Linked DNA regions of Mus musculus. The protein of the gene in region 4 interacts with the protein of the main gene of each other region in a pairwise test. Links are inferred from orthologs where the notes say so. Each region holds a gene or a part of one and is shown on either strand. Other genes may lie near its edges.

What was found. The genes of interacting proteins can lie anywhere in the genome.
Region 1: the proteins of Dazap2 (region 4) and Plekhb2 interact in binary tests that used the Homo sapiens proteins (3 or more experiments, as listed by UniProt). The two-hybrid records come from large-scale screens. The link is inferred for Mus musculus from reciprocal best matches to the Homo sapiens genes DAZAP2 and PLEKHB2.
Region 2: the proteins of Dazap2 (region 4) and Rnf208 interact in binary tests that used the Homo sapiens proteins (3 or more experiments, as listed by UniProt). The two-hybrid records come from large-scale screens. The link is inferred for Mus musculus from reciprocal best matches to the Homo sapiens genes DAZAP2 and RNF208.
Region 3: the proteins of Dazap2 (region 4) and Smap2 interact in binary tests that used the Homo sapiens proteins (3 or more experiments, as listed by UniProt). The two-hybrid records come from large-scale screens. The link is inferred for Mus musculus from reciprocal best matches to the Homo sapiens genes DAZAP2 and SMAP2.

The regions. Positions count from the first base shown.
Region 1 is NC_000067.6:34,846,583-34,854,738, reverse strand, and holds the start of Plekhb2 (pleckstrin homology domain-containing family B member 2), read right to left. Parts: upstream 4,781-8,156; 5' UTR 4,676-4,780; intron 3,663-4,675; exon of another isoform or gene 2,762-3,662; intron 2,515-2,761; exon of another isoform or gene 2,403-2,514; intron 1-2,402. UniProt on the Homo sapiens protein: Involved in retrograde transport of recycling endosomes.
Region 2 is NC_000068.7:25,239,534-25,246,741, forward strand, and holds Rnf208 (RING finger protein 208), read left to right. Parts: upstream 1-3,395; 5' UTR 3,396-3,762; coding exon 3,763-4,560; 3' UTR 4,561-4,728; downstream 4,729-7,208. Other genes in the region: Ndor1 (NADPH-dependent diflavin oxidoreductase 1), read right to left, coding at 6,242-6,616, 6,799-7,062.
Region 3 is NC_000070.6:121,012,468-121,020,592, reverse strand, and holds the start of Smap2 (stromal membrane-associated protein 2), read left to right. Parts: upstream 1-3,345; 5' UTR 3,346-3,741; coding exon 3,742-3,844; intron 3,845-8,125.
Region 4 is NC_000081.6:100,612,014-100,620,099, reverse strand, and holds the start of Dazap2 (DAZ-associated protein 2), read right to left. Parts: upstream 4,439-8,086; 5' UTR 4,389-4,438; coding exon 4,376-4,388; intron 4,051-4,375; exon of another isoform or gene 3,778-4,050; intron 3,188-3,777; coding exon 3,069-3,187; intron 2,176-3,068; coding exon 1,930-2,175; intron 733-1,929; coding exon 604-732; 3' UTR 1-603. UniProt on the Homo sapiens protein: In unstressed cells, promotes SIAH1-mediated polyubiquitination and degradation of the serine/threonine-protein kinase HIPK2, probably by acting as a loading factor that potentiates complex formation between HIPK2 and ubiquitin ligase SIAH1.

The DNA of each region.
Region 1 (8,156 bases), on a different chromosome or scaffold from region 4:
CCCTTTTTCGTTTGTCCTCAAGGTCTCATTTTAATAACAACAGTGAATATTAAAGCATCTCAACTTTAAAAAGTTCCGACAGTCACTAAAAAAGTCAACACTTAAAAGTCCGACATTTCTTACAATATTCAAAGGCTCTCTTAAAAACTAAGTCTCTCTACCATTCCATGGTCTCTCAACTGTGGGCTCCTGGTGAGACTCCCTCCGTTTATGTTTGGATCCTGTAATGTGACATACAAGTGACAAAGGCAGCAAATGATAATGATGCAAAGGGATAAACTATAAATCGTGGAACACAGCATGCCACCACGTCCCCAAACTGAAATCTTTCTGTTCTTCCAGAGTCGGTCATGTGTCCTGGGTACTCTTCCCACCCCCATGGTGAGTGGATTCGTTATTTTCCTAACTGCTCTGGCAGAATAATTGACCAAAGCCATTTGCTGAAGAAAGGGTTTATTCCAGATCACAGGGACATCGTAGCTGTGAAGACAGGCAGCCCCTGGTCACCTTGCACCTGTAGTCAGGAAGCAGAGAGAGGCATGCGCTGATGTTCGGCTGGGTTTCTCCTCTGACTCAGTCTAGAACCCCAGTCTGTTGTGGGGTGCCACCCACATTTAGAGGAGATTTTTTCACCTCAACTAACCCAATCCAGAAAGCCCCTCACAGGCAAGCACAGAGGCCTGTATTCTAGACCATCCTAGAGCTTGTCAAGTTGATTGACAGTCAGTGTTAATGATCACAGAATCTGTTTAACATTGACTCTTCCGGCCCTTTAACCTGCTGGAGAAATAGCTACCTTGGGTTGAATATTTGTCAAGTCCCCTCTCCAAAAACGCTTGTATATTATTTCAGTCAATTTTCCAAAATTTCATCAAGTTGATGGTATATTTTCATTTTATAGTTAAAACATAATAATAATAATAATAATCATAATAAAAAGGCTTGGAAATCTCAAGTAAGTTACCCAAGGTGACCAACTGAACGAGGATTTGAACCCAGGTCTTTTGGGTCCAAAGTCTATACTTAGAAACATTAGCCTTTATTAAGTTTTAAAATATATGACCACGCTTCCTGACTTTCAGTTCCTATAATACAGTCACTAAAATTCCCCCCTTCCTATTTGAAAGCAAAGAGAATTATCAGAAAATAAAGACAGATTTCATCTAGGTTGGCCTTTTTGGTTTTGGCTTTGTTTCACCAACTTGACACAAGCTTAGAGCTACATGGGAAAAGGAACTTCCATTGAGAAAGTCTCCATCCATTTGTTCACAGGCAAGCCTGGAGGGCATTTTCTTGATTAATAACTGATGTGGGAAGGCCCAGGCCACTGTGGGCATGGCTACCCCTGAGCCTGGGCTGCATAAGAAATATCAATCTAATTGCATCTTTCCTCTCTCGGCTCGCACTGTCCAGTTTTGGGTCAGTTGCTGACACTAATCAAATCATTCTTTAATTTGTCTGCCATCCACTAATGCAGAAGAAAAGGCTGGAGAAAAAGACAGAAAGAAGTTGCATATGAATGTCAGCTAAAAGCAAGGTCAAGCTCTCGGGGAGTCAAGGAGAACCCACCCCTCTCCCGCCCCTTCACGCTGTCGCTAGCTAGTGGTACAGGAGCAAATTTCTGTGCAGCTACTCTGACAGGAGACAGAACAAAGCTGCCAAAGGTATGTGCTGCTTGTATAGGGTGTGCTTAAAAACAAAAACAAAACACAAAAAAAAAACCAAAAAAACAAGCAAACCTGCTCAGATTTCTCACACACACACACACACACACACACACACACACACGTTAAGACAGCTCATAAAACCATCTCTCGCATACAAACAAAACACTCCAAGTGTTCTTTTCAGCTCTGATCCAGCTCTCTTGCCTCCTGGCTCCTGAGCCCTGCAGGCCTCAGGGAAACTCTGCTGGTTTTTCTTTACCCATCTCAACAGCACAACCGCTTACTGTTTCAAACAGCTTTATGCTGGAAAGTTCCTGACAAGTTTGAAGCCATATTAAGCATTACCTATACACAGCAGCAGCAGCAGCAGGATGCCACCACCGCCCATATGATACAGAACCTACAGATATGACTCATTACTGACCAGATCGAATGCAAAAGCACAGGAAGGGAAGATATGAGCATTACAGTCTAGCTACTCTATATTTTAAGGGTACAGGACACATTTGTAATCCGTGTCATAGAAAGCAATCTGCACACACACACACCCTTTCAAGGTATGCAGTTCTGATTTAACCCTTCGGTCCAGGCGACACAGAGAGGCACGAAGGACTCAGCATCCTTAAGATGAGACTGCCATAGAGCAGTTCGGGCAATAAGGAGAGGTGACAGACACCATAGACCTCAGGGACTGTGTCTGGCATGGTAAACTGCCTTTGGCTGCAGCTGACTTACAAGAGGGCGATCAAAGGTGCGAATCTGCCTCCCTCTCGGATCACTGACTCTCTGCATAAACTATCACTTAAAGGTTCAGGTTCCAGCTAGAAAGATAGGAGATAGAAAGGGGCTGGGGCAGACAGACAGACAGACATAATGAGAGAGAGAAACTGGTTTCATAAATTCAGTTTTTATTATCAGGAGATTGACTTACAAAAAGAAAAAGTGCTTACACCCTTAATTTACTGAACAGCTACTGTGTGTCTGACAGGAAAACACCATAACCCAGTTTTGGTTCCTGCCCTGAGGAAGATAGGTGGGAGATCTCTCACACAGAGAACAAACACCACAGACACCAGATAAACCCAGGCAAGTACCTGCTGAGCTAGAGGGTCTCTTCCCAAGCTACCTGTCAAAGCAGCCTAAGAAAGGAGGGCTTTCTTCACTCCAAAAGGCAAGCCCACAGCACAGGCTGGTGGATTCCAGCCATGTTTGGTCAATACTCCAGCTAACACTCCCTGCCCTAAGTAAGTAGGCAATAAATCCCAGTCGCCACCCTACCACTTCCTGCAAAGTGGGACAAGTCACTTCCTGCATGGGTCGCTTCAACCTATCCTAGTCAAATGAGATGCACGAGGGGGGTGGGAGGTTGGAGGAATTAGTCACTGTGTTCTGAACGAGCCACGTAGTCTCGCTAGAATCTGTGAGCTTCCCACCTTTCTAAAACACTGGCAATCACTCCACTCCTTTATGAAGACTCTCTGTAAGCCACTCTGCACCTGAGAGTTGGACACAACAAATTCTGCTTACCCCAAATAAAAACCCCTGACCTCCCAAAGTCTCAATCTAACTATTGTTATTGCATAACAATAAAATGTAACCAAAAGGAGTCAGGGCTTGTACAATCAAACACGGAAAACTAAAGGCACTATAATACAGACCATGAAAGTGCAGAGGAGCAGGAGGCCCAGCGGAGCAGGGCAACCCCAGGAAGAAGAAAGCCCTGGGGTCTCAGTAAAGCAGTAGCGGTACTTTGTGAAGTCACAGGAGCTATCAGAAAGGCCAAACTGCTCCCATCCTCAGAAGAGCCCCCACCACCTTATCCAGACATAGGTGGAGAAGGGGAGGGAGGGTAAGGGCTAAGCAGCTCTACGGGAAGATACCATTTAGGACAGGGGGCACCTGGGAAGGGATGCGTAGGACTGGGGAGGATACATCAAGAAGTGGGCATTTGGGCCGGGCGGTGGTGGTGCACGCCTTTAATCCCAGCACTTGGGAGGCAGAGGCAGGCGGATTTCTGAGTTTGAGGCCAGCCTGGTCTACAAAGTGAGTTCCAGGACAGCCAAGGCTATACAGAGAAACCCTGTCTCAAAAAAAAAAAAAAAAAAAAAAAAAATGGGCTTTTGGTGAACCCGGAAAAGACCCTGAGGAAAGGGCAGGGGTACAAGACAGACCTGGTCACTGGGTCAGGAGAAGAAAAGATTATGGTGGGGAACACTGAAGAATCCCTGCAGAGACCCAGGGGGAAATGGAGGGGAGCTAGGCTAGACAGGACCCTAAGGAAGACTATGAAGGGCTGGGAGGATAGATCAGGAAGTGGGGAAGAGACAGACTTGGAGGAGGGAGTACAACCAGAATGTGGGACACTAGCGACAGGGGAGGAGTCAGGAGCTGGAGGGGAATACAATCAGGATGGGGACGCTAAGTAAGGAGGAACGTAGTAGCTGGGGGGCCGATGGGGGGAGGATACAATCAGGATGGGGACACTGGGAAGGGGTAGGAGGTGGGAAAGGAAGAGAACAGTCAGGGTAGGGACACTGAAGAGACAGGAGGGGAGGGGGGGATACAATTAAGATTGAGGACATGGGGGAGTGGGGAGGAGGCAGGGAGAGGCTGGAGTAATATAATGAGGATGGATACTGGGGAAAAGGCAGGAGCTAGTGTGAGGTGGAGTGTATCATCAGAACAGCAGACGTTAGGGACGAGGGAGGGGTGTGGGTCAGAATGGAGACACTCTGGAAAAGGAAGAGGGCAAGAGCTGGGGGGGGGGGGGGAGGCGAGGAACATTAGAGAAGGGGGAAGGAACAGGGGCTGGGGGGGGTGGTGTCACCGAGGAAGTGGGCGCGGCCAGCAAGGTTAGAGCTCCCCAGAGCCAGGCTTTGAGAGGGGGTATTGGCGAAGCGGGTTACCCCCGGAGGGGCGTGAGCGGGGCCGAATGGGGTACCTCCGACCGGGGAGGTCCGGGGAAGGGGTCGCACGCGGGCGCAGGGGGGCTCCGCGGGCACAGTCACCTGCGAATGTTCAGGCCGCCAAGACAGGGATCAGGCTGAGAGCGCAAGGTCGCCGGCTTCTCCTGCTTCTCCGCTGGACGCGCGAGTCCTGGTCCTGCGTCACCGCCTCGAGCCATGCGCATGCGCGCAAGGCAGGTGCCACCCGGGTGCAGGGCCGAAGCCAAGGCGTTGCTCTCAACCTGGGCTGTTATCTGCTCAAAGGTGGTTCTAAGTTTCTTGATCTTGGCCTCTAAACACAGAGCTTCGTAGAGAAAAGCGTGACAGCGGGAATGGGGGCAAGCCAAGGGCAAACTGAACCTGGGACCTCTCAGAGCCAGAAATGAAGACCTGCAGGCTTAAAAACCAGGAAGATGGAGATGTCAAAACTGAAACAGCAATCAAGGAACAAAACTGGAAGTCTTAGCAATAACTCACATAGAAATGTTATAGCTTAGAATATAAAATATAAGGATAAAAAAATAAATGAGGAAGGAGCCGGGGGGTGTTAGTAGGACTGTAATCTCAGTACTGGGGAGGCTTAGTCAGGAGGATAATAACTTTGAGGGCAGCTTGGGCTACATAACATGGCAGTACACAGCTGTAATCTCAGCATTTGAAAGATGTGGTAAGAAGATATAAAGGAAGGCCAAGATTATCTTTAGCTAGGTAGTGAGCTCAAGGTCAGTCTAAGGAAAAAAAAATACTCTTTTAATTATAGTGCCTTGTGTATCCCAGGTTTTTTCTAGGTTCTTGGTGTCTCAAACAATGACTTGCACAACACAGAATAAAGGTTGTCAAAGGGTACATTTATTTACAAAGAAAATGCATGGAATACACTCCCCAGAATGGGAACGGCCTGAGCAAGCATAAGACTCAAGACCCCCATGACCTTTTGGAGCGTTGTGAGTTTAAGTAGAGTGAGGAGCAGATTCCCTGCGTAGAAATTAGGTAGACCCTTTGCCCTGATTGACAGATGGGCTGTTAGGTAGCCTTGAGTTGGTGGGTCATACATCCTATAGCTTTATGCATGTGCCACACACACACACACACACACACACACACAAACACACACCGTGTTTACACCTGAAACAGTAAATAAATTTGTTACTATTTCACTTCAAGGAAAAACGTACCCTCATAACACGTATACTCAAAGCTGGTTTTAAATACACTTGTGTATCTGCTGTATCTGCCCTCCTACCAGGAAATGCCTAATCTCAAATTACCTACAGGAGAGATGGGTGTTGCCCTGTGGGAAGGAGACCGAAGGTACCCTCAGGTCATCGGACAGCCCTATGATCATTTACATTGATGGAGCTATAGCTGTTGTACTGATTAGTTTTTGTCAGCTTGACACAAACTAGGATCATCTGGGAAGGGAACCTCAAATGAGAAAAAAATCTCCATCAGATAAGTCTGGGGACTTTCTCTAAAGTGATTGGCATTGGGGGGCGGTGCCTATCTCAGTACAGGCAATGCAATCCTTTAGCAGGAGGTCATGGATTATATAAGAAAGCAGACCAGTAAGCAGGGTCCCTCCACGGTCTCTGCTTGAGTTCCTGCCTTGCCTTCCCTCGATGTCAGACTGTGATCAAGATTTATAAACTAAATAAGTCCTTCCTTCCCTAAGTTGCTTTGAGTCATGATAATTTCACAGCAATAGAAAATGCAGATTTTTTTCCTACTTTACTGCACTTATTGAATTTTCCTTTCATTTTAAATTACTTGTCTGTCTGTCTGTGTGGGAGTATGTATACACGGTGCAGGTTCCCATGGAGGCCAGAGATGTCCTTAAGAGCAGCCAGTACTCTTAACTGCTAGCTATCTCTCCAGATACCAAAATTTTCTTTAATGAATATATACAGAAGTGATACATATACATACATACATACATACATACATACATACCTTAAATAATAGGAAAAAGAGTTGTATTTGAATACAGTTTGAGTTAAATATGTTTTCCAGGAACTAGTGAAGAGGCTTAGTAAGTTTTCTAATTTAGTGAAATTGGCTTTGTGTTCTAACTCCTTGTCAAGAAGGAAGAAGAGGATTAAAACATGTTCTCAACAGGCCCACTATGTGTGAGTGAGCACACGCCCTCAGCAGGCCCACTGTGTGTGAGTGAGCACACGCCCTCAGCAGGCCCACTGTGTGTGAGTGAGCACACGCCCTCAGCAGGCCCACTGTGTGTGAGTGAGCATCCACTCTAGACCCTGTGTGTCTGTGCTGAAACTTTAGTTTCTGGTCTAAGCCCAACAGGAGGGGCCACTCGAGGATGTCATGATTGCATGATTTTATTCTCCACAGTACAATTTGTAGGATAGTACATTTAGTTTTATAAGAAACAGCTAGACTTTTTTCTGAAGGGATTATGATACTTTTTGTGCTTCCAGGAAAAAAAAAATGAGATTTTTGTTTTGCTGCAAAGAAAGCCTTCACAAACATTATCTTTCTCCTAATTCCCCCAACCTGCTCAGGTCCCACTCTATCCCAGCCTCACCACAGGTAGTTGGTGCTATTTGCTTTTGAATGATTTGTAAATTACACAATATTTTTACACTATATGTATTTCTCCTTTTTTACACAGTGTCCTTCAGCACAATCCTATGTCCCCATGTTGATCTATGGGAAGGCTCCTTGTTTCTTTGCTTTGCTTTCTTCTCTGTTTTAATTAGAATTTTTACCATATAGATGAACCAGGGTTCATTGAACTATCCCCTAGTAATGGGTACTTGGGTTGTTTGTGCTGGCAGGATGACACTGACAGGCTAGGGAGAGATTCATCTTGGCAGAAGGTGGCAGATCTGGGAAGTGGATAACATTTAAGAATACTGTCTCCCTGGAGGCATTCTATAGAGCTACTTTGATGTGGAGGCAGGGTTGTGTGCAGGCAGTCAGGTAGTGTCTCATGTCATGGTGCTCTGGCTGTTAGGTCTTATTAGGTAGAACACCTGTTCGGGGAATCGATCTCAGTGTGGTGGTGGAAATGTCCCTCAGGTATTTAAACACTCGGTTCCTTGGTGACACTGAGTCAGTTATGGAGTATTCAGGAGATTTAGCTTGGCTGGAGGAACTCTTGTCACTGGGGGCTGGCTCTTAGCTTCCTGCTCTGGCCACCAGATGCCACACATACCCTGCTGCCAGGGCCCACATTACAGACTCTAGCCTTCTGGAACTGTAAGCCAAAGTAAGTTCTTCCACAAGCTGCTTATAGGTGTGTTTTATCACAGGAACAAAAAGTCATGGATAACTCACTTTACTTTCCTACTGCTGTGAGAAAATAAGGTAGCAAAGCCAGGCACACTGGTGCATGCCGTTAAACACTTGAGAAGCAGACACAGGCAGATTTCTGTTAGTCTGGGGCCAGCCTGGTGTACAGAGGGAGTTCCAGGCTAGATTGGGCTACATAGTAAAACCCTGGCTCAAAACAAACAAATAAACAAATTCTAACTAAAACAATTTCAGGGAGAATGGGTTGGCGTGGCTCACAGTTCCAGGT
Region 2 (7,208 bases), on a different chromosome or scaffold from region 4:
GCTGCTTGAGAGCCTGTCGCCTAAGAAGACACCCATTTAAGAGGAGTCTGCCCTTGGAGAGCCATATCCCGAAGGCATCTATGTGCAAGGCCTGTGTGTATTGGAGGTAGGCCCAAGTACCCAGTTACCACCCTCCATCAAGTATCCAAGAAATGCTCCAGGATGTAGCTGGAATGGGGACAAAAGGCTAGAAGGCACTGATGAGCGTCCAGGGGAGAGCAGGGGCTTCCCAGGAAGAACCTGTAAAGTCAGTGTCTAGACAAGGACTCACCTGTGGCAAGCAGCAGCCGTCTGTCTTCTTAGTCCTCCAGCTCCAGGTCCCAGTGCGGGTGAGCAGAGCTACCAGCAAGTGCCTTTTCCCTCCTAGAGAGGGGTGGGGCCTTGGGGTGGAGCTTAAAGATGGGGTTCCCAAGATCCCAAGAGGCCTCAACAACTAGAGCACAGCAGCCAGTCACCCCTCATTCCCAGATGGGTGGAGGCCAAGGTTTGGACTTTAAGGGGCATTTGCCAATCTGGGGTGACTCAATCACGATTCATCTGAGCATGCCCTACCTCCTTGGGTCATGGCCCCAGAAAGGAAGTAGAGGCAGGCCTTCAGATTCTGGGGTCTTCAGAGGTGCTGGGGCTACCCAGCCATGACTTACATCTTTTCTGCCACCGTTCTGAGCTCCTCCTTGCCACCAACACATACTGAGACGTTTGAGTGCACAAGACAATTAAAACTACTTGGAAGATTTCCACTTTAATAATAAGTTTGACACAACTTCGCAGATACACTTTACTTATCTTACATGAACTTCAGACACAGTGACATTTTCAGCTCCTTTTTTGTGTTGCTGAGTTGGGATGAAAGAACCCCCCGACCCCCTCGTGCCGTTTTCTGTTCCCAGCACCCATTCTTGGCACTGGCACCCTTCTGCTTTTGCAGCTTCACCTCCATGCCCACAGAGGGCACGAAGAGTGACGGTGGGGCTAGGGTAGAGACAACAGTGGGCTTCCCTGGGTCTGCAACCAGTGGGACAGGCTCAGACTCCAGTCAGGAAAGCACCAGGAAGGACATCAAGTAGGACAGGGCCTGCAAGCTAGGGTGACTGAGTAAGACTGCGTAGAGCCAGTCAGTCAGGTCGAGACAAGAGTTCGAGCAACTTAGCAAGTAAAAGGAAATGGGTCTGGGGGAAACATGCTTAATAAAGGAGAAAACCAGAGTTTACACAAGCTCCCTCAATCTTGCTCATCGCCCCTTTAGACTCCGCCCCTAGCCGGGAGCATGCGTAAACCAGGCCGAGGTGCTCAGTGGAAACTTAATTCCCCAGAAGCCTCCGCGCTCCTGGGTTTCCTAAGGACCGGGTTTGGACTGATCCTTGGCTCACACCGCTCAGCTCAGAACGGCCGTGGAGTTGGGGGGTGGGGGTGGAGGAACCTTATTCTCCTACGGGGCGTGGCTTCGTTTCACGGGGCGGGACCCTCGGTAGAGGGTGGGGCGGTAGGTGGCCTTGCGCGCATGCTGAGTGAATGGGTAAGTGAGCCGAGCCCTCCCGGGAAGGGTGGGCTGGTTCACTCCTTTCTCTGTCCACAGTTATCTGAGTTGGCCAACATCATGCATGCGTGACAGGTTTCCACGGAACGCCTCCCCTCTACAACTCAGCACCCGACGCCTCCTGTCACATTGTCTTGCTGAAGGAGCCCTGAAGTGGACCAATGGTTCCGCAGAACTGTAAAGTCTGGCCCAGCCTTGGCTCTCAAGGAACACTGTTCCATTCGTCCAATTGTACAGAAAGGGGCTGTAGCCTGAAGAAAATCTAGACTTTCCAGGGTCAGGCATAGGACTCAGTGTTATGCATGGTGGCCATGAGAGGGCATTCTGAACATGTAAACACCATGTCATCAGAGTGTGTCTTTAGTGTTTTCCTCACGGATTTCCCCACCCCCGCCCCAGGCAAAGGTGTAGCCCAGATAGAAGAGGATGAGGTAGGAGGAGGAGGATGAAAGGAATGGGGCCTCTGCTGGGTGGGGCCAGTATAGTACATAACTGTGAGACGTAGAAGCACGTGCTGACCTGATGAGATCCAAGAAAGGGCTACCCCACCCTAGGCAGGTGAGTGTGCACTGTGGGCCCTCCACCCTACACGCGGACTGCCAACCTATACCTGGTATTTCCAACTCTCCATCTCCAGTCCATGAAACTTCTGAGCTTCCTGTGACTGCCCCAGTTCCCTGTGACCACTCTTCTGGTATCCACTCAAACCCTTGTCCCTTTTGCTGTCCCAACTCCCTCTTTGACGAATCCTTGTGTGGATACGTCAGTGAATTGGAAAACTCCCGGCGTTCACACAGGGGGTGTGTCGGGGTTTGAAGTTAAAGGACCCTGCCCTTTCAGAGCTCGAAAGGTAGCTGAGACACAAGTGGAACGCTGGAACCCCTGCTCGGCATTGTGAGGCTCAAAATGAGGGAGTAAAACATGAAGATTTCCCTTACAAAATTTGGGGGGGGGGGAGGGTTTGGCCCCTCGGGGGATGAGCCAAGAGGCAAGGGAATCTTGTCGGCACGGGGATTCTGACCAGCCGGTAGCTAGCTGGGAGGTCGACACTGGGAGCCGACGCCAGACCAGGCGTAGATCGAGGGGCGGCTAGGAGACTGGCCCCGCCCCGTGGACCCCGCGCGGGTCCCCAGACAGGGGGTGGCGCTGCGGGCGCGGGCGGGCGCCGCGCGCACTGCGGTCCCCGCGCCTCCGCCGCAGAGCGCGCCACGCTCCGCACGCACCTGCCGCCGCCGCCGTCGCCGCTGTCGCCGCCACCACGCCGAGCCTTGCGTCCAGCACCAGCGCTCGCGCCCTGGGTGCTGTCTGCGCCCGCCATCGCCCGAGGTCTCCACTGGAGCCGCGGGAGCTATCGGAGTCACTAGAGCAAGGTGTGAGCGCCGCATCCGGGCCTGCCTTTGAGACAACCTCTGCTGCGGCGGCGGCGCAGCCGGGGAACGCCAGGCTGGGGCAGGTGAGCGGGGGTGGGAGGGGGAGGGGCGGGGGCCAGAGACATCACCCCTTTCCATTTTCATAGTCAGTCCTCCGGACAGTGAGTCCGGTCTCGGAGAGTATACTGGGGAGGGGGTTGCGTTCAGAGTTCCGTGGAGATCCCACGGATGAGGTCAGGGTCAGAGGTCGGGCACTCTGTCCTTTGTGAAGGATGGGGGCGAGGGCAAGGGCGAGAGTGAGGTGGGCCCCGTGCTGCCCTCACGCTGTCTCTCACCCGCAGCTCAGGCCTGGTGCAGGCCTCTCCATTGCTGTTGCCGCGGAGCCTTCAGCCCAGGTCCTCTGGCAGCCAGGGATCAGGCTAGCTGCCTTCCCTGGGCGCCCTGTCCTGGAGCCATGGGGCCCACCTAGCCCCTGCCTGCCCAGATGTCCCGGCCCAGGGACTGCTGACCTCTGCTACAGGAGGAGGCCCCTCCACGCCCCCTTGCCAGCTTCAGCAGACAGAGACCCTGGGTGAGCTCCAGAGCCCCAAACAGCCACCCATACCCCCTTGTCCCCGCCTGCTTCCCCCTCCCCCTCCTCTTCCTCCTCCTCTTCGGACTGAATCAGATAAGCCATTGTGGCCACTGGGAGGGGGGTTGCCCTCCAAGCTGTCACCGGCTGCCCCTTGCAGTCCACAGAGTAACCGTGGTCCTCACCAGGCCTGGCAGGACCAGGATGCAGCCCCTTCTCTTCCCCCACGGCCCCACCCAACACCCCCACCTGTGCCAACGTCCAGTCTGACTGTAGAGAGCCGGATGCCAGCTGACCCTGGGCCTGAGGTGGGCAGTGGATGGCCGGGCCTCCTCATGTCCTGCCTGAAAGGCCCCCATGTCATCCTCAAAATGGAGGCCATGAAGATTGTCCACCCTGAAAAGTTCCCTGAGCTCCCGGCGGCCACCCCCTGCTTCCCTCCTGCACCCAGGCCCACTCCCACTCTGGCACCCAAGCGTGCTTGGCCCTCAGACACAGAGATCATTGTCAACCAGGCATGTGGGGGGGACATGCCTACCTTGGAAGGAGCATCCCACACTCCACCCTTGCCAAGGCGGCCCCGCAAAGGCAGTTCTGAGTTGGGCTTCCCCCGGGTGGCACCAGTGGATGAGGTCATTGTAAATCAGTATGTGATTCGACCTGGCCCAACAGCCTCTGCACCTTCATCGTCTGGGCCAGTGATAGCAGGTGAGCCCCTGGAATGCCCCACCTGTGGGCATACATACAACGTCACTCAACGGCGGCCCCGTGTGCTGTCTTGCCTGCACTCCGTGTGTGAGCAGTGCCTGCAGATTCTTTATGAGTCTTGCCCTAAGTACAAGTTCATCTCCTGTCCCACCTGCCACCGTGAGACTGTGCTCTTCACTGACTATGGCCTGGCTGCACTGGCTGTCAACACATCCATCCTGAGCCGCTTGCCACCTGAAGCCCTGACTGCCCCATCCGGTGGACAGTGGGGGGGTGAATCTGAAGGCAGCTGCTACCAGACCTTCCGGCAGTACTGTGGAGCTGCATGCACCTGCCATGTGCGGAACCCACTATCTGCCTGTTCCATCATGTAGTGTCCACCTGCCCACTACTGCCTGCAGGTCCTTGCTCGCCGCTTCTTCAGGGAACTGGCTTTGTCCTGTTGCCCGCTGACCCTTTCTTGCCCACTGTGGCTTCTGGCCCTACCCTGCGTGGCATTGTCGCTGCAGCCAACTTTGCCATTAAAACTCTTTGCCAAAGTTTGCACTTGTTCACTGATTGAAGCTAACTCCTGTGGGCTATGCCCATGCCTGGACCTAGGGTAGGTTCCCAAGGCTATAGTCCAACATGGTCTAACCAGGAGCTGCCAGAGGGTGAACCAGCTCCATTCAAGGTTGGCTTGCTCTGCTTGTGGAAGGGCAAGCTGGCCCGAGTGTACTGCTTAGGAGGTCTGGACTAGCTGGGAACACACTGGTACATGGAGATGGGGCCCAGCTAGGGAGACAGAACTTTTAGCTGTGTGTGGTGAAGTTCATTGGTAGTCCCAGCACACTGGAAGCTAAAGCAGGAGGGTTGTGAAGTCGGCATGGGTTGCACAAAGAGATCCTGTCCAAAAAACCCACGTACTTTTCTTCTGGCCAAGGATGTATGGAAACAGCCTCTGGACAGCATATGTAGAGGCTTACAGTTGGCTACGACCAAGGACCCAGCAGTCTTTTAAATGATCTGCCTATGACTGGAACAGGTACCATTGAAGGGTTGTGAGGAGAGTGCCTGGATGGCAGAGATGGAGTAATAATGAGGATGGCAGAGGTAATGATAGAATCAGTAACAACTGTTTATTGAGAACTTTTTTTTTTTTTTGGGAGACAGGGTGTCTCTGTGTAGCCCTGGCTGTCCTCCTGGAACTCGCTCTGTAGACCAGGCTGGCCTGGAACTCAGAAATCCACCTGCCTCTGCCTCCCAAGTGCTGCGATCAAAGGTGTGCGCCACCACTGCCTGGTCTGAGAGCCTTTCTTATGCTTGTTATATAGGACTCAGCCTGAAATGTTACACCTTACATTGTGTCACCAATGAGCCATGAAGTGAGCTTAGATTTGTCTGCATCTCCCAAGTGAGGGCTCCTGGTCCAGTGACATGAATTGCAGAGTCAACTAGGAACAGAGCTAGACCTTGGGCATTTGGAGGCTTCAGGGTCTGGATGGGCCCTTGCAAAACAAAGGCAATATTGATCCCAGCTCCTCTGGGCTACCTTCTCTGGTGAGAGTAGCTTAGGTTGGGTGGGAGCTTTTGAAGGCTGGCTTGTGCAGTGCAGGCCTCTCCTGGTAGTTACTGTGGCTGCTGCTGTTGCCTTCAGGACACACACCAGCTTCTGTCTGGTGCAGGTGAGAGTCTGCAGCCCTTGCCTTCTCCAATGAACAGATCTCAGGATAAACAGAATCACTGTTGGAATCACACATTTGTGTCCACTCTCACCAGCTGGACTACGAGCTGGCGGTATAGCCCAGCTTCTGCCTGTGGCCAGTGAGATGACCGCCCATGGCAAGCACATAGGGTTCTTTTCACAACTCTTTCTGCCAGGCCAAGCTCCTTCAGAGGCTGTCCTTGTGTCCTTGGCTTTAGCTAATATCTAGGCTGCAAGGGTGTGTAAGCACTCTGGCTGGCGTAGGCTCTTAGGCATGTATAGTCTTGGTATTGGTGATAACAAGTCTTTGCTGATTACCAGAATCCAAGCGTGCATGGACTTCAAAGCTTGGCCAGCATTCTGGGCTCTGCTTAGTGGGTGGAACGGTCTAGCAGCATGAAGAGCACCCCTAGTAAAAGGAGCGGCATGAAGATGACCACCAGCCCGAGCAGTTCAAGGACCAGTAGGCTCAGCAGTGACAAGCGGCGGGCACAGGGGCCACGTTCCCGTAGTGCCCACAACCAGGTGCCTAGGCTGGGAGGGCAGGGCAGGAAGGGGAGACAGCTTCGCCCTCCCACAGGCCCTGCCAGGAAGCGCAGCTGGTAGCGGTGCTCTAAGGGACCCCAGGGCCAAGGGCCAGGATGCAGGGCTGTGACGGATGCAGTCCGCATTGGGCGCTGGGGTCCATCAGCTCGAAGCAGTTCCTCCTGCAGCTGACAGATCTCCCACTCTAGCATAGGTGTCTTCTGACGACACAGTGGACAGCACACACGGCCCAGGTCAGCTCTGGGGGTCATGCCTAACAGCTGGTGTAGGCAGCCCACACACAGGCTGTGACCACAGTTTAGCAGGGTCAGGTGGTGCTCACTAGGCCCATAAGGCTCAGCACAGATGGGACATTCCTCCTCCTCCACAACCTGCCCCTCACCTTCCTGCTCTTCCACAGTTGACTCCAGGGCCCTGGCAGCGGATGGGTCTCTGGCCTCCAGTTCCGGTTTACTGTCTGGAGTTCTGGCACCCAGAGGGGCCCTGAGATCATCCTCTCCATCTGCTGGTAGCTGGCACAGTGGGTCCAAGAGCTCAGGACCCAGAGAAGCACCGGGTGAACTAGTAGACACAGAGCTGGTGTCATTAGGTCCCAGGTTACCACTAGAACAGAGGTCAGGATGCGTAGACGGAGACTCCAGGATGACTGCAGGGATTGTTGTAGATATGAAGGTGTGGCCCTCAGGAGCCAGGCAGAGCTTGGCCTCCACCCATCCACCTGAGCACTAACCTCTAGATAACCCTTTCGGCTTGCTGACCTCACTGGAAGTAAGCTTCACTTGGGTCCCCGCA
Region 3 (8,125 bases), on a different chromosome or scaffold from region 4:
GCTTCGGTACAGCCAAGTTCTCAAGGCTGACAGTGAAGTCACAGCACATTGTCACATCTTAAAAAAAAAAAGCGAGAGTTAGCTGGAGTTAGCCCAATAGGCTCTGAGATCCACAGTGAATTTCTGAGATTCACTGGAGACCCACAGTTCATTTACTGTGACAGCTAACGAAGAGATGACAGGAAAATAGAAAATTAGTCCAGCTCGCTTAATGACAAAGCCATTTAATTGGTATTACCCTAAATTGGTACCCTGACTAACCAGTGGGTTGGAAACTATTTTAGTTCAATGTATGACTCAAGAGATTTTATCTCCTAGCTAGAAGATGCTGGGATGAAAAGCTCCACGTGGCAGCAGTCCAAACATGTTCCCCACAGCACTACTAGAGTCACGGTCTGGGCATTTTGCTGCAGAGCTCACTCTAGCATGGCAGCTCAGGAAAAAATTCATTTCTGAGCCAGGTGGTGCAAGGTACTCTGCTACAAAAATAAACAAGAAAGGGAACAGATAAGTACATATGCCTCGAGTATTATGAATTTTTTCTTTATTGCTCTTTTGTTTGTTTGCTTGCTTGCTTTAAAACAGGATCTCCTGTAACCTAGGATAGCCTAATGTCCACTATGTAGCTGAGGCTAGCCTTAAACTCCTGTGCTACCTGCCTCCATCTACCAAGTGCTGGGGTCACCTATGTGCCACCATATCTGGCTTTGATGAATCCTTTTTATGTAGGATCAGCTAAGTTACAATTTGGTGAGAAAACAACTTAATAACTTAAAGCAAGACCTTTTGTTGTTGTTGTTGTTGTTGTTGTTACTCATTACTTCTGATCTTTTTCTGATTAGTGGCGAGCTCTTGCTAAATTCAGGCTTTGGTTACAAAGCCTAACCTGGAACTTCTAGGGCTGCCCTTGCAGGGACCAGGAGCAAGGGCATGTTCTCTACAGTCGGTGCTTCAGTCTGTCTTGACTGTCTGTCCTTTGTGGATAGTGTGTTCCAGTCAAAACAGCAAATTAAGGCTTCAGACATAAAGCGACATATTTCTGCTTGGCCCATTGACTATGTCTGACTACAAACAGATCAGGAAATAAACCCTATCATGGACTGATAAGGCCAAAAGCCAGACATATTTAGCAATAGGTGTTGATTGTCTACCACTTGTTTTGTGCTGAGAGTTGTTCTAAATGCGTTGCAGGTTTCAGCCCTGAGAAGCTTTGCATCAATCCCAGGAAACAGGTAGTTAGCACCATTATCATTCCTACTGCATACATGAAATACCAAGGCAAGAAGTTAAGCAACCTGCCAAAGCCACACAAACAGAATTCAAATTTTGGATCTCAGCCCAGGTGATCTGACCTCATGGTATATGTGCCTCGTCTCCATACTGTGCAGCCAAATGGAAGGAAATGAGAAGCTGTCAAAGGCTTTTTCAACGGGTGAGCATGGTTAAGTGAGATCCTCGTACAAGAGGAGTCAGGTGGAGCAAAGCCACCCGTGAATGACTCCAGCGCCAGAAAATTGGATGCCCTTTTCCTGGACTCCAAGGGCACCTGATCTGTTATGTGCAGACCCACATATAGACACACATACACATAGTTAAAAATTAAAACTAAATCTTAAGGCCAACATATTGCAATGCCTCTAATCCTAGCACTCAGGAGGCAGAGGCAAGCAGAACTTTGTGAGGTCAAGGCCAACCTGGACTACAGAGTGAATTCAGGCCACCCAGGGCTATATAGGGAGGCCCTGTCTCAATAAAATCAAATAAAAATTTAAAAACGACTAAGAGAATATCAAATCTGATGGACCTGTCTTAGGAAAATACTATATGAACTTGGACGTTTATGAAAGTAAGTTCTTTGAGACTTCACTGGAATGAAAAGGTTTGGAACAGGAATAAATTATTCTGATTAATAATGTAACAAATATTTTAATTTCCCTTTATAATATATAAATATTATATATTACAATATATAATAAATAAATATATAATATAAACATTTTGAGGGGAGCCTGGTCTTGGGAGAAAGTAGAGATGAACAAGACTGCTGTCTTAGAGGCAAATAAACACTTTGTCTTGCTGGCCTCCCTGGTCTATTACTCTAGCCTTCAGAAGAATCCCTTAAGAGCAAATATCAGGAAGTAGCGTTCTCTTCCCCTTTAGCACATCCTGTTTTTTCTCAGTCTCTTTTAAGAATTTGATGAGTGAAGGGACGGAATGCATACACAGGAAGATGGCCGTGGGTTCAAGACACTATTTGTAACAAGAGAGGCTTTGGAAAATAATACCTAATAACCATTTTTAAGTAGCTGCTTATTCCATGTTACCCTATAACTGGCTCTCCCCCAAACAACCTGAGAGATGGCTCAGCAGGTGAGAGAGTTTGGTAATCTCTCATAGGACCCTGGTTCCTTCCCCAACACCCACATCACACACCCTCATCCATCAGCTGAAACTCCAGCTTCAGGTACTGCAATGCCCTCTTCTGGCCTCCTTGGACACCTACACACACACACACACACACACACACACACACACACACGCACGCACGCACGCACGCACGCACGCACGCACACGCACACGCACACGTACGCACTCACACACGCACGCATGCACACACACGCAAGTAAAGGAGGCTAGGTATGGTGGCACATACCTTTAATCCCAGCACTTTGGAGGCAGTTCTCTGTTAGTTCGAGGCTATCCTAATCTACAATATAAAGTTCCAGGCCACCAAGGGCTACTTAGGAAGAACCTGTTCAAAAAAAAATTTTTTTTAAAGGAAAGAAAAGTTCTGCCTAGACACTAGTCAGAGCGATGCTCAAAAAGGGCAGTAGTCACAGAGAAGACTAATGTATATCAGCGGCAGGAGGCATTCCAAGTTAGAAGTGATCACGAGGGAGGGTGTAATGTCTCTTTAACTCGGGTCAGAGGGTGAGTCCTTTTGTCTCTTGAAGGAAAGACTAACCTAAAGGAGTCTGGGATAGCCACAACCCTTGTATTATATAAGGATAATAAACACACATCTTATAAAGGTTGCTGTGAAGAGCATACTGTGATAATTGATAGAAAGCGCTTAGAGCAGTACATGGCACACAGTATGAGCTCTGTAAATGTTGGTCGTTCCCTTCACTTTATTCTCTTCACTCTCCTCCCTCTCCACCCGGCTTCATTCATTCTTTTCCAAGGGCACGCAGGGGGCGTGTCCTCCCTCCCGCCGCTTCCACCTAAGCCCCGCCCCCGGCTCTTCCCGGATTGGTTCCTAGGAGGCGGAGCCAAGGGGAGAGCCCAGTGCAGCGCGGTGGGCGGGGCGCATGCGCGGGTTGGGCTGGGTGGAGGAGGAGAGGAAGAGCTGCCGGAAGTAGGCGGTGGAGGTGGCGGCTGAGCTGGTCGCAGCTGCCAGGGAAACCGAGGCGGGAAGCACAGCGGGCAGACCCTCAACACTCGGGGTCAAGTGTGCGTCCCGCACGCCTGAAGCCGGGAGCTCGCTCCACCTAGGCCACTTCTGGGGTCCCGCAGCCTCCGCGAGTCCCTGCCTTGCCCGAAGCCCGCCAGGGGGCGCCGCGCTGAGGGGCTGAGGGGCTGCGGGGCGGGGGCGCTGACGGCTCTGACCCCGGGGCTGCTCCGGGCCGGGCGAGAGGACCGCCTGGGCGGGGACCCCAAGGCCTCAGCCCCGGACAGAGGCAGGGGTTCTTGGGGGGTGCAGGGGGCGCGTCGCCCTCTGCCCCCGCCGGCACCCTGGCCATGACAGGCAAGTCGGTGAAGGACGTGGATCGGTACCAGGCGGTCCTGGCCAACCTGCTGCTGGAGGAAGATAACAAGTTCTGTGCTGACTGCCAGTCCAAAGGTAACGCATCCGGGGCGCCGGCGGGGGGCCAGCTGCGGGGCGGCGGCGTGGCGATGAGCTGCGATGGCCTGAGTGGGGAGGGGGTTCTGGAGCTCAGGGCGAGTCCTCTTCGTATGACCACGCGAGCCACCCTCGCTCATGAGCTTGCTGGGTTTCCTCGGGCTTGGGACTTGGGGTTTGGTGTGGGCGAGTGTGTGTGTGTGTGTGTGTGTGTGTGTGTGTGTGTGTGTCAGCGAAGTGGGGATGATATAGTGGGGGGTGGGGTTGCCCGGTGTGTTCAGGTGAGACTGTCTATGTTGCAGACTCTGAATGGCTTCTGGGCTCGCTGTCATGCAGAGCTGGCAGCCTTTTACTTGGCAAAGCTGTGGGTGAGCTGCAGTGTGGTGGGGGTGGCGGTGGGGGTGACGAGGAGGAAGGTGAGATGACTAAGAGAAAAACTGTCGAAATGATATTTAAAGGTGGCATTCCTTGCTGTCTGCTATGTCGTTAGCAGCTCCTGTCATTTTACCACCTTGTTGAGCTCAGACCGAGTGCTTAGGTGGCTTTCTTCACCCAGGTCGTGTGCACTGAGAAACAGCTACCTTATGCAGTGACACAGTGCGGATTTCTAGGTAGTCTAGCCTGGGTTGTGGAGGCCTCATGCGTGTGTGGTGAGCGAAACTAGCAGACCTGGACTGTAGTGCAGGACCCGTTCAAGCAGGGAGAAAAGGAAGCAAGGAATTCCCCCAATTCGTTATTTCCCTGGTGATTACACCTTTAGAGAGGAAATAGAAATTGGCCACAACCACTTAGCCTTTGTTTTCTGTGTCTGTAAAGGTTCATGCTGTGTTACAATTAAAGGTCAATATGGTAGAAAATTTACTAGTGAATTCTGTACAGCTTTGTAGGTAGGAGCAGCTATAATTGGGAGGGGGTATTTACTTTAGTTCATTTCCTGAATTTGCCATGTAGCATATGGGTATAAAGTAGTATAAAGCATTCAGATGTGTGTGTGTATTAATGTTGAGAAAAGCAATAGATACTTAGCCCATACTTCATGTGATTATGGTTTATTTTAGAGTAAGGTTATGTAAGGAGGGCGCAAGAATGATGATGCATTGATTTAGACTCCTAGTAATAAATTTTAGTGACCTCTATCAGTAGGCAAATGCAGTGAACTGTCAGCAAAGCAGGTCCCCAGACTTCTCTCGAGAATTTTTGCGTTAACAGGAGTTCAATTTATGTTGAGGAGTCGAAATTTCTTGTAGCTTGATTCTTGTTAGATCTACTGGAAGGTTTGGTTTACAGTGTAGGAGCACCTTTGGTCTACTCAAATCCTCTGATGTCCTCATTGACAATTTTAAGTCGCAGCGAGGCATCCACTGAGCAGAAACCATTGTTGATGATTTTTAGAACCGCCCCCTCCCCTGTACTCATGTTGTTTGTATGCTTACTCATCCCAATAACATATACCATGGGGAAGAGACACGTTAATTTACCAGGTCTTCCTCCAAATCTCCCATTGCCCTTTATTAATAGCCTTACTAGATATAATCAGACATAGAACTTCGTTAATTCCTGATGAGAACTAGTAACTGGGGCCTGCGATAGGGCTCAGTGAATAAAGGTGCTTGCCACTAAGACTGACAACCTGAGTTTGATCCCCAGGACTCACAGGGTAAGAGGAGAGAACCAGCTCCCATAAATTGTCTCCTGACCTCCACGTGGACTCTAGTACATACATGTACAATCTCCACAAAGTTAATAATTAAGATGTAAAAACAGACGACACCAACAACAAAGCCTAGTAGCTGTCTGCCACTGATACTAAAACCTTGGATCCTGAATGTTCTGAAGTTAGAAATTCTCTTCAACGCGTTTGCCACTATTAAAAAAAGAGATGCCCACGTGTCCATTATCTTTCAGTTCTGTCAAACAGGCTTTTGCAGAGGCCTGTTTATCTAGCTGCCGAATGTTCAGCCCTGTCTGCCGGTTAACCCCTCCTTCATTCTCTTCCTCTTTTCCACTTTCAGGTTTTGTGATGAACTCGTAGGCAGTTCTCAGAGGGTAGGAAAGAGAGATATTTGCATTAGTAGATCATGACCTGCTCAGCCCTGATAAAAAGGACCAGCAGTTGGTGGAAGAGTTAGAAGACTGTTCACTGAAATAAGATTTGAGTTTGAGTTTACTTTTCTGTTTTCCTCTTGTCCTTTTCAGAAAATTGAGAGCTCACCAGACAAGGTCTGGAGAGTTCATCTATTAGTATTTAGTGTATTGATGTTGCCTGGACTACAGACCTCTAAGTGGATACTTTTGTAATGTTCCAAAATAGCTCTTTGGCAATGAATTCTCTTTTTTAAAATTTAATATTATGTTTTAATTTATTTATTTGTGTGTGTGTGTATGTGTGTGTGTGTGTGTGTCAGAGAACAACTTCCACCATGTGGGGAATGAACTCAAATGGTCAGGCCTGCTGGCAAGCATCTTTCCTTACCCACCGAGCCATCTTGTCACCTGATGTTTCTATTTATTTATTTTCAGGAAAAATTATGTTTCCTAAACGTTTTATTTTTATTTTAAATCATATGTATATGTGAGTGCAGTGTCCATGGATGCCAGGAGAGGGTGTTGATCCCTTGGAACTGGACTCACAGGTGATTAGGATTCATCTGAGGTGGGTGCTGGGAACTGAACTCAGGCCTTTTAAAGAACACTATGAACTCTGATCCACAGAGTAACTTTTCTAGTCCCCTGACTCTTCTTTTTAAAATCATGTTTAGGAGTGATACTTGTTAGTTGATCCTTAAAATAATGTCATTCAGCACTGGGATAGAGACTAAGCAGGCACCTTTCCCTTTATTCAGTAGAAGGCCTGTTGAGTCAGGTTTCCGAATGTCCTGGACTGCTTTGACACTGCTTTGTATTAAAAAAAAAAAATGCCAATGCTTAGTGGTTGTGGTGCGTGTCATTAGTCCCAACTTGAGAGGGGAAGGCAGGGGGATCTCTGTGAATTAGAGGCCAGTTGGTCTCTACAGTGAGTTCCAGGACAGCTAAGGCTGTTACATAGAGAAATCCTGTGTCAAAGACAAACAAAAAACAAAGAAGTCACAATTTAAACCATCTGAGGTGGCTACCCCTGTAATCCCAGCACTCAGGAGCTGGAGGCAAGGAAGGAAGATAAGAAGTTCAAGTTTGAGGCTAGTCTGGGCTATGTGAGACCCTGCCTCAAACAGTTCCCGTTCCCAAATGCTATGACTTATTCTTAGCACAAAGTGCAGTTTCCTTGTCATGACAGCTTGCAAAGTAATACCTACATGGACTGATCTCAGCAATGATAAAGTTAGAGGGTGTACCAATGTTGATAAATGATTGATAAATGAGGAAAAACTAGTGTAAGAGCCAGGTATGTCTCTGGTAACTGGCTGCTTGAGACCTGGCTCCATCATACTTCCATTGTACTTGGGGTCACAGTAGCCCAAGGCTGGGCCTTTAGCTCTGCAGCTCCAGATGTTTATGAATGTGTTGGCATTAACCCATTCAGAGACTGGTGTCAGAGGGTCCACCTTTCTGATGACCTGCGTACTCCTGTGCACCATTGAGACATTACCAGCGTCAAGGTTTGGGAGAAGCAGAGAGCCGTTTAATGAGCAGAGAGTAGACATGGGAGACATGACAGTGTCAGGGAACATATGAGTGACACTGAAGTGCCTCGTGCAGCTCTGCTGTCTTGAGAGCTTTGTTAGTTTTTCCCGGTCCCCTTCCATTACATCTTGTCTATGAAATGTTTCCCCTCTAATTACCTAACCACTGCCTCTGTTTCATCTTCTCTATATATTTTCACTTAAGTAGATTTCATGTGGTTTGAAATTCAAAAAAAATCGAAAAGACAACAGAATGAAAAATCATTGTCCTAAGGTGACCCATAGCCACCTTTGTTCTCTTCCTGAGTATAACCACTGTTGGCCATTTCTTACCTGCCCTTGTCCTATGTTTGAAACAGGCTGGCCTTGACCTGTAGCTGATTAAATGAACTCCTGATCTTCCTTCTTAAATTCCTCCTGTTCTACCTCCCCAAAGCTTGCACTGCCGGCATGCAGCCTTGTCCCCAATTTCTTAACCTGTATATCTGAGACGAGTTTACATAGTTTTGGCTTGCCTGGGACTTGCTGTGTAGACCAGACTGGATGCAAACTTGCTGTGATCCTCCTGTCTCTTCCTCCCAAGTGTTTTGCCTCACCTGCCTTTCATTTTAAATGTATGTGTGTGAGGATGTACATGTCTCACATATGTACCTATGCATGT
Region 4 (8,086 bases):
AAGATGAGTTAAAAAATGTCAAGTGGGACAGGTGCAGGGAGACAAGGGGCTGAGTCTGGCTTTCGGTCCTGCACCACTGATTCTATGGATAGTGATGGGAGGGGGTGGAGGAGCAGGGACAGTGGACAGGCTGGGCAGAGGATGGGAAGGAAAAGGCAGACAGCTAATGCATTTCATTTACCAAGTAAGATAAATCAAAAACTTAAGGAGATTAAAGACCAATCAGAATAATTTGGCAACTTTAATTCTTAGGAAGATCAAAGTTCCCTCCAAACCTAATTTGATGTTTTATTACTAGAAGCAAAGACCAGCATGGCACAGCATCACTCCAGAGGAATTAAGGAAGAGCCTTGGGCTGCTTCACTCACATTCATTTGAAGAATGGATACCTCCTTACCTCAGAATGCTTTAGGGAGGGGCTGCTACCCTTACATGGTTCCTTATTAAATTTGAAAAGTGCCTCAAAAGTTTGGACACCAGAAAGACACCCCAAAAACATGTGTCTAAACTGCAACTTCAGGTTAATATGACTAAAGCAGTTACATTGTGAGAAGTGCTGAAGGTATGTGATGTCTTCCCCGGCACAGGAGTGGCCATGGCTCCTCACCAAATGGTGTAGCCACCATCTGAGCCACCCATGAAGAAGTTTCCCTTGCGCTGAGTTACAAGGACGTTGGCTCCCTGCATGACTGCGAGCTGAGCAGCGTTGGGAGGGCATCCAGGAGGTGGAGGCTAGAAGGAAAGAACAAGGTACAGTGGGCACAGGGAAAGAACACAGGAAGCAGATGCTGCGTAAGAAGATGGCAATGTGCCAATCGGTAACTTTTTCTTTTTTTTTTTTTTTTGCAGGCAGTGGGATAGGTCCACCCAGGGTCTGAGTAACTCTCACTTGACTGGTTCATGCTATGTAGCCCTGACTGACATTAAACTCAAAGGAAGTCTGCTGCCTCAACCTCCCCACTGTTAAGATTATCGAGTGTACTACAGTACCAAGCAACCAGCATTTTAAGGAGCTAAGTTTGCAACAGTTTGTTCTAGAGCATGCCTACTCTCTCTGAATCCAGGACATAAACAGGAAAGGAAATCTGTCATTCACCCAGAGTGTTCTAGCTCTAAGATGTAGCCTGTAAATCCAGATCCCATCCTTCTCAGGGAGAGCCACGCCCACCCCACAGGATCTCTTGTGAATGTGGGGTTTTATTTACCAGGGAGGGGGAGAGCCCTTTGTACAAGATAAGCAAATGCTCTACTAGTGGGCTACATCTTCAGCAACCCTAGGTTTTTAACATACAACATTGTTAAAAGCCAATAATGATACCATTCTAGTCACCTCACTCTAGAATGACTCCTAAGAAGATGCCCTTTGCTAGAACCTTGTGGGCTACAAACCCCATACACAGTGTCACTGAGCAGGAGGACCTGGAAAATAAAACCTACTTACTAGGGACCGTGCATTCTACTTTCTTAATCATCTGGGTTCCTAGTACATTCCCCACTCATGGCAAATATTAAATGCTTATGAACTCACCAAGCAGCACCCCTGGACCAGTTCACTGTGCCTGAACAACTGAAAAAGGAGCTAGCAGTCTTTTTAAATTTATAGACAGGGTTTCTCTATGTTGCCCTGGCTGTCCTGGAACTCGCTCTGTAGACCAGACTGGCCTCAAACTCGGAGATCCCCCTGTCTCTGCCCCTAAGTGCTAGGATCAAAGGAAGATGCCACTAATTTAATAAGACAAGAAAACAAATCAACCTGATTAACTCTAAAACCAAGGGCTGTGTCCAATGCCCTGATTGGCCCGGCCACATTTCTGCTCTGAGAGGGCAGCAGCTGTGCCAGCCCTGACCACTATGGTTGGAGAATGAATATGAAGTCATTTCAGACTGTTCAAGTATACAAGGGCTGAGCTCCCAGTTAGGCATACTCACAGGAATGTTGCCAGCAGTGGCACCAGCTCCAAATCTGGCACCTGCATCATACCCTCCTTCCACCAACACTGCTGAGCCAGGTGGATAGATGGGACCAACTGGATAATAAGCCATGGGGATTGTGGAGCCTAGAGGCCCAACAGCCACAGACTGGGCCATAGGCAGATACAATGAGGCGCCAGGAAATGCAGCTGACATGGTGGGGACTGTGGCAGCCCCTGGATGAACAAAGCTTGGACGATAGAGCTGAAAGAAGCAGAAGAGAAAGCAAAACATTATTTTTGTGACATTCCTATTTGGAATCTCTTTAAGTATTATTGAGACCATCTCCTGTAGCTCAGGCTAGCCTTCAAGTATGTAGGAGTGGATGACCTTGAACTCCTGACTCTCCTGCTTTACCTCTTGACTATGGAATTAGAAGCCTGTGCCACCAAACCCAGTTCACATTGTGCTAGGGACCAAATCTAGGGCTTGGTGCATGCTAAGCAAGCATTCTACCAAATCAGGTACATCCCCAGCCCCTTGTTTGGTTTTGGAAATGGGGTTTGGTTATACTGGCAGCCTTGAACTCAGCTTCCTCCTGACTCAGCCTCTCAATGCTGAGACTACTCGCCTGTACCACCACGCATGGCTCATGAGTCCATTCTTAGTTGTTTTTTTTTTTTTTTTTTTTTTTAAGATTTATTTATTATATGTAAGTACACTGTAGCTGTCTTCAGGCACACCAGAAGAGGGTGTCAGATCTCATTACCAGTGGTTGTGAGCCACCATGTGGTTGCTGGGATTTGAACTCAGGACCTCTGGAAAAGCAGTGCTCTTAACCATTGAGCCATCTCTCTAGCCCCTTGTTCCTAGTTCTTGTGTTTGCAGATTACACACTGGTTATAGTCACTGGCACACAGTATTCTGAGTCATTTGCGTCCACAGCTACTATTGTGCTCAAGGGACCCAAACTCAGCTTAAGTCAGCATGTGTCAAATAGCATAATCAGATACTGCATTCAATTCCAATGGTAATTTTCACCTTAAGTTCTAGATGATTCACAGAGCATCCTTCTGCTTGTGAAGTCAGATTTGAAGACTTAACAAGGGGATCCAAGAGTGTTCTCAACTAGCTACAAGTCTAGGAAACTGCAGTACCTCTGAATATGCAGGTGGAGCATCAGTATAGGGTGGAGCCTGAGGAAGATGTAAGGTCTGAGGATATACTGGATTCCCAGGAGGTTGCACAGGGTAGGTAGGCTGTGTTGGATATTGACCTGGAATACAAAAGGGGAGGAGAGATGTTGTCTGTCAGATTAGGAGGGGAGGTGGCAAACAGGAAAGATGCTCAGTGTGTGAGACAAAGTGCTGCTCTTCCTGAGGACCCCAGTTCTATTCCCAGCACCCACATATGACACAACCTCCTTTCAACGCTACCTTCTGCCTTGGTGGGCACCTACACTCACACTCACAGACACTTACACAGGCAGAGGCAGGCACACTTTGAATAAAAACAAGTTTGTAAGCAGAGCTACTAGACGGGCCAGGGTGCACAGGGTGGGGAGCAAGCAGAAGAGCTGCAAATAAGGCTGCCTTATTTCTTAGAGCCAGGAAAATAAGGATGGTCTCGGCACCCTCGCGCCCGAAGGTGCTGGCTTCTGACTGGGCAGAAGGCGCCGTTCCCACTAGCATACTGATTGATGGAGGCTAACTTGGCCATGTTCCCTTTCGAATAGAGGGCAGGTCTGAGGACCCGTTCCGGGGTCTCCGGACTGCTGGTGTCTTAGGGGACTCCTCTGGGTGATCTCCCCCGGGCTGTGCTGTAACCAGTCCTGACTCTGTGGGACCCACGGTTCTCAGTGTTTACCTCACGGGTTCCTAGTCAAGGTCGACCTCCAAAGAGTGAGTGACTGGAAGTTAACCGTGAGAAGGGCGGCGGGTGGAGGGGTGGGGAACGCGACCATGTTCTCACAAACATTAGCAACGCACAGGGGCGGCTACGAGTCCGGGCCCCGAGGAGGAAGCGCCAGAAGTCCCCGGCGGGCGAGAACGGGTCCTCGAGGGCCTGGGCCGTGCAGCGGAGCCGGCACCTCAGCAGTTAAGCTCGGCCGAGGCCTGTTGTTCCGAGGCGCGGCGCCCCGCCTCCGCCCGCCCTCCATTGGCTTCCCCAAATCCCTGCTCTAGCTCGCCATTCGCTCCAGCCGCTGTCCGTCACGGAAAAGCCCCCCCACCCCACACACAGGAGCCCGCGGCTCCAAACTGCGCCACACGGTTTATGGGGTCGGGGCCCAGAGGGCCGAGCGGCTGCGTTGTGGGGGTGGAGGGGGGCGGCCACGTCAGGTGCGGCCGCGCTGTGCGGCCCGCTGAAGAGAGCCGCACAGACCGCCCCAGGCCCGACGTCCCCCAGCCCGCTCGACCCGAACCCGCCCGCTTCCCCGACGGCCCCCGCCACTTCCCGGCCTTGCCTTTGCTGTTCATGGTGGCTCTGAGTCCGCTCCCACTCGGCGTCGCGGACGGTTATTTTTCTCGTCCTCTTCCTGTTCGGAGTCACTTCCGTGTCACGTGACGTTCGTCCACTCTGCGTCAGGAGATGCCCGAGTGCGCCGCCGCCGGAAACCCCGCCCCCTCGCAGGCCGGCCAGTCGCGGCAAGGAGGGCGCTCGCGGCCCTGCTCTGCTCGGAAGCCCCGCCCTCCCCGCGCGCTCTGCCCTCACGGCGCGCGCCTCCTCTGGGCTCGGCCCCGCCCCTCCCTGCGCGGCTTCGCCCTCACCGCGCGCTTTGCCCTCACTAATTGCCCCGCCCTCCCTGCGAGGCCCCGCCCTCCTCGCTCTCCCCGCGTTCCTTGCTCTCTCTGCGCGGCCCCGCCCTCACCGCGGTCCTTGCTCTCACCGTGCGCCCCGCCCTTATCACGAGCCACTCCTTCCCGCGCGGCCCCGCCCTCACCGCACCGCTAGCCCCGCCTCCCTGAACGCTCCGCCTTCACCGCGGGCTCCTCCTTTCTGCGCGGCCCCGCCCTCCCTGCGCGACCCCTCCCTCACCGCGCGCTCCTCCTTTCTGCGCGGCCCCGCCCTAAAGAAAGCGGAGTCAGCTCATCTCAGGGCGACTTCCTCACTGTGAGTCGCCTCTGCTCACCAAATTCAGGTGTGAACACAGGCTGTCACGACTCCACAGTGCCTGCGAGACGCAGCCCAGACCTCAGACCTTAGCCTGTCCGCCGTTCTGGTCCTTCCAGGCCTCTTGTTGAGGGCCCAGCGCCTGGCTTCGTGCTCGGAGATGGACCGTGTCCCCGCGCCCCGCCCCCTGTCCTGAGATAGACCGTGCCCCAGCACAAGCTGAGGGGACGCAGCCAGCACCTGCACCCTGGCCTGGCACGTCCTACGGGGACCTGAAAACTCCCTACAGATGTTGTGAGTGGTTTAGCCCGCGCTCAGTTGTCCAGAAGAGTAGCGACGACGTCTCTTAGGACAGTGATCACATTTTTTCCCGTTTCCTCGTTCCAGAATATCTGCTGAGCAACCGAACGCGCTCTCATAGATGCACAGAGGAACCGACCGCCGCAGCTGTCTGCAGAAGTTCGTGTTGTGCGTGGTCAAGTAGATGGGCAGGCTTTGGAGGGAGAGGTCCTTGGTGAACGGACTCCTGATTCGTCCGACACCGAAGGCCTTGCTTGTGTGTCAGGTGTCTATTTAACAGTTTGCGTGGCGTCCTGTAAATGCAGTTTCGTCCAGTCGGCAAGCACAGCAGCCTGAGAGGCTGATCTAGTTCAGCCTGGGGACCTGCGCATGAGTGTCATGGGTTCACGCCGACACACATATAAAAATAAACATTCGAGAAGAAAAGAAAAACTGATCTAAAGGACAGGTTACAGACTTGAGTTTTGTGTTCGGCCTCCCAGGTTCCGGGTCAGTATTTCCATTTTGGTTTCCTGTCAGCACACAGAGCATCCCCTAACTAGGCTGCGCTAACTAAAGGATGTTAGGGAACTCTCTTGGGTATTTTTTAAGTTCCCATTAAGTATTTATATTAATTTGATTTGGATTAAATCAGTATCATAAAGACTGTGGTATTTACATTTCCTTGACTAAAGCAAAGTATCCATAGACATATGAAATAAAAACAATAGTAGCAACAACATAAATTTAAAAAGTCAGATGCTGCTATGGGGTAACCATTCCAAGGACCACTGTCTTATGAAGAAAAGGTTAATTCAATATCCAGGCCCTCCTAGGGCTGACTCCTGAACGTGATAGCTGCTCTCGGCTTGGTCGATCGCTCCTATGCTAGGTGCCTGATACTTTGCTTAATATCCTGAACCCAAGGCCTGGGGATGCAGGAGCACCCCGCGGGAAATGGGGAGCTGCAGGCCGCTGCTGTTTCCACCAGGTGGAGCTAAGTAGCAGCTGGCTCCAGTCCCGGACAGCAGGGCGCATCGGTGTTTGTTCACTTAGCAAACACGCTTTCTTACAGGAATGTAGCAACTACTTAATGAATGCCCACTGTGTCAGGCCCCATCTTAGGTGCTAGAGAAACAACTGCGACGAGGCGGGCAGAGTCTTCCACCATTTTGAAACTAACAGCCTAGAAAAGCCACTGTAATCGTAGTGCGGCCTTTAGAGACAACGAGTACACCTGCGATGCCAGGAAGCGCACATAGATGAGGGCCTACTATCTTCTCCTTAAGGGACGGTTTCCCGGGGGAAATGATGCCTGAGACGAAATTTGAGGAGTGCATAGCCACTAAACAAGTGAAGAAGATCCCCGGCGAAAAGGAAGACATCACTCATACCATAGCGCTCAGAGAGTGCGGCCAGATCACAGAAGGCAGGACTGGTGGGAGATGAAGCTGAAGAGGAAGCAGGAGCCAGGCAGTGCTGAGCCCAGGGCAGAGCCTGGGTGGAAACACGCCTTCTGTCCGGAGGACCCTGACTTGCCACTGAAGAGTTTTAAGTAGAAAAGTCACATGGTCATGTGGGTCTTTTTTAAAGAAAAAAACAAAACATAAAACATTTTATAATTACATTTTGAGTATTCGTGTTTGTGTATGCACCTGTGTTTGTGGGTGCTGCTGTACCTCAGCAGGTAAAATACAAACCATGAAAGCCAGATCACCTGAGGACAGTCCCCAGAACCCATAGTGGAAGGAGAAACCAACTTCTGAAAGTTGCCCTCTGTCCTCCACAAGTGCCTACACACACAGACATAAATTAGCAATACTAAATTTAAATTTAAAAATAAGTTAATAGGGGCTGGAGAGATGGCTCACAGGTTAAGGGCACTGACTGCTCTTCCAAAGGTCCTGAGTTTAAATCCCAGCAACCACATGGTGGCTCACAACCATCTGTAACAAGATCTGATGCCCTCTTCTGGAGTGTCTGAAGACAGCTACAGTGTACTTACATATAATAAATAAATAAATAAATAAATCTTTAAAAAAAATAAATAATAAATTTAAATTTAAAAATAAGCTTTAAGGAAGAGATTGGGGAGATGGCTCACTGGTAAAACATTGGCTCTACAACCAATAAGAACCTGAGCCTGGGCACCCAGCACCCAGCACCCAGCAGAGGGCAGCAGCTAGGGAGGCAGACACAGGCGGCCCTTAGATGCAGGTGGTTCCAGGTTCAATAACAGCCTCCTGATATATATAAGAATATAGCTGTAGGAACTTGGAAGGCTGAAGCAGGAGAACCTTGGTCTCAGGAGTTAAAGACCAGTCCAAACAACATAAGACTCTACTTCCAAAAGAATAATACACACGGCAGAAAGGATTCCATTTCATAAAACATAGAAATTAAAATCTAATGTAGAGTGACCTAAATGTGAATTAATGGCCAGCTGTGAGGGCAGAAGAGAAAGGAAAGGAGTTTAGAAGGAGATTTAGAAAACTTGCATCTGGAAGCTGACAGCGCGAATTTTGAAGAAAAAACAAAACAAAACAAAACAAAAAAACCCTTACCCAGGGCAGGAAAAGACAAAGAATTTATTGAAATACAGGACAAGACAGGCGGAGGGTGAACATGACGCGGGATCATGTGACTGAGAGGAAACCACTTTCTCCTGTAACGGTCAACAGTGAGTTGCTAAGTCTCATGGGCCATTTGTCAGGATTTAAAGACCTTCATCTCTGTCGTAAGTGGTTCCTGTGCAGAGTGAGTTGGTTGTTTTGTTTTGTCTTTT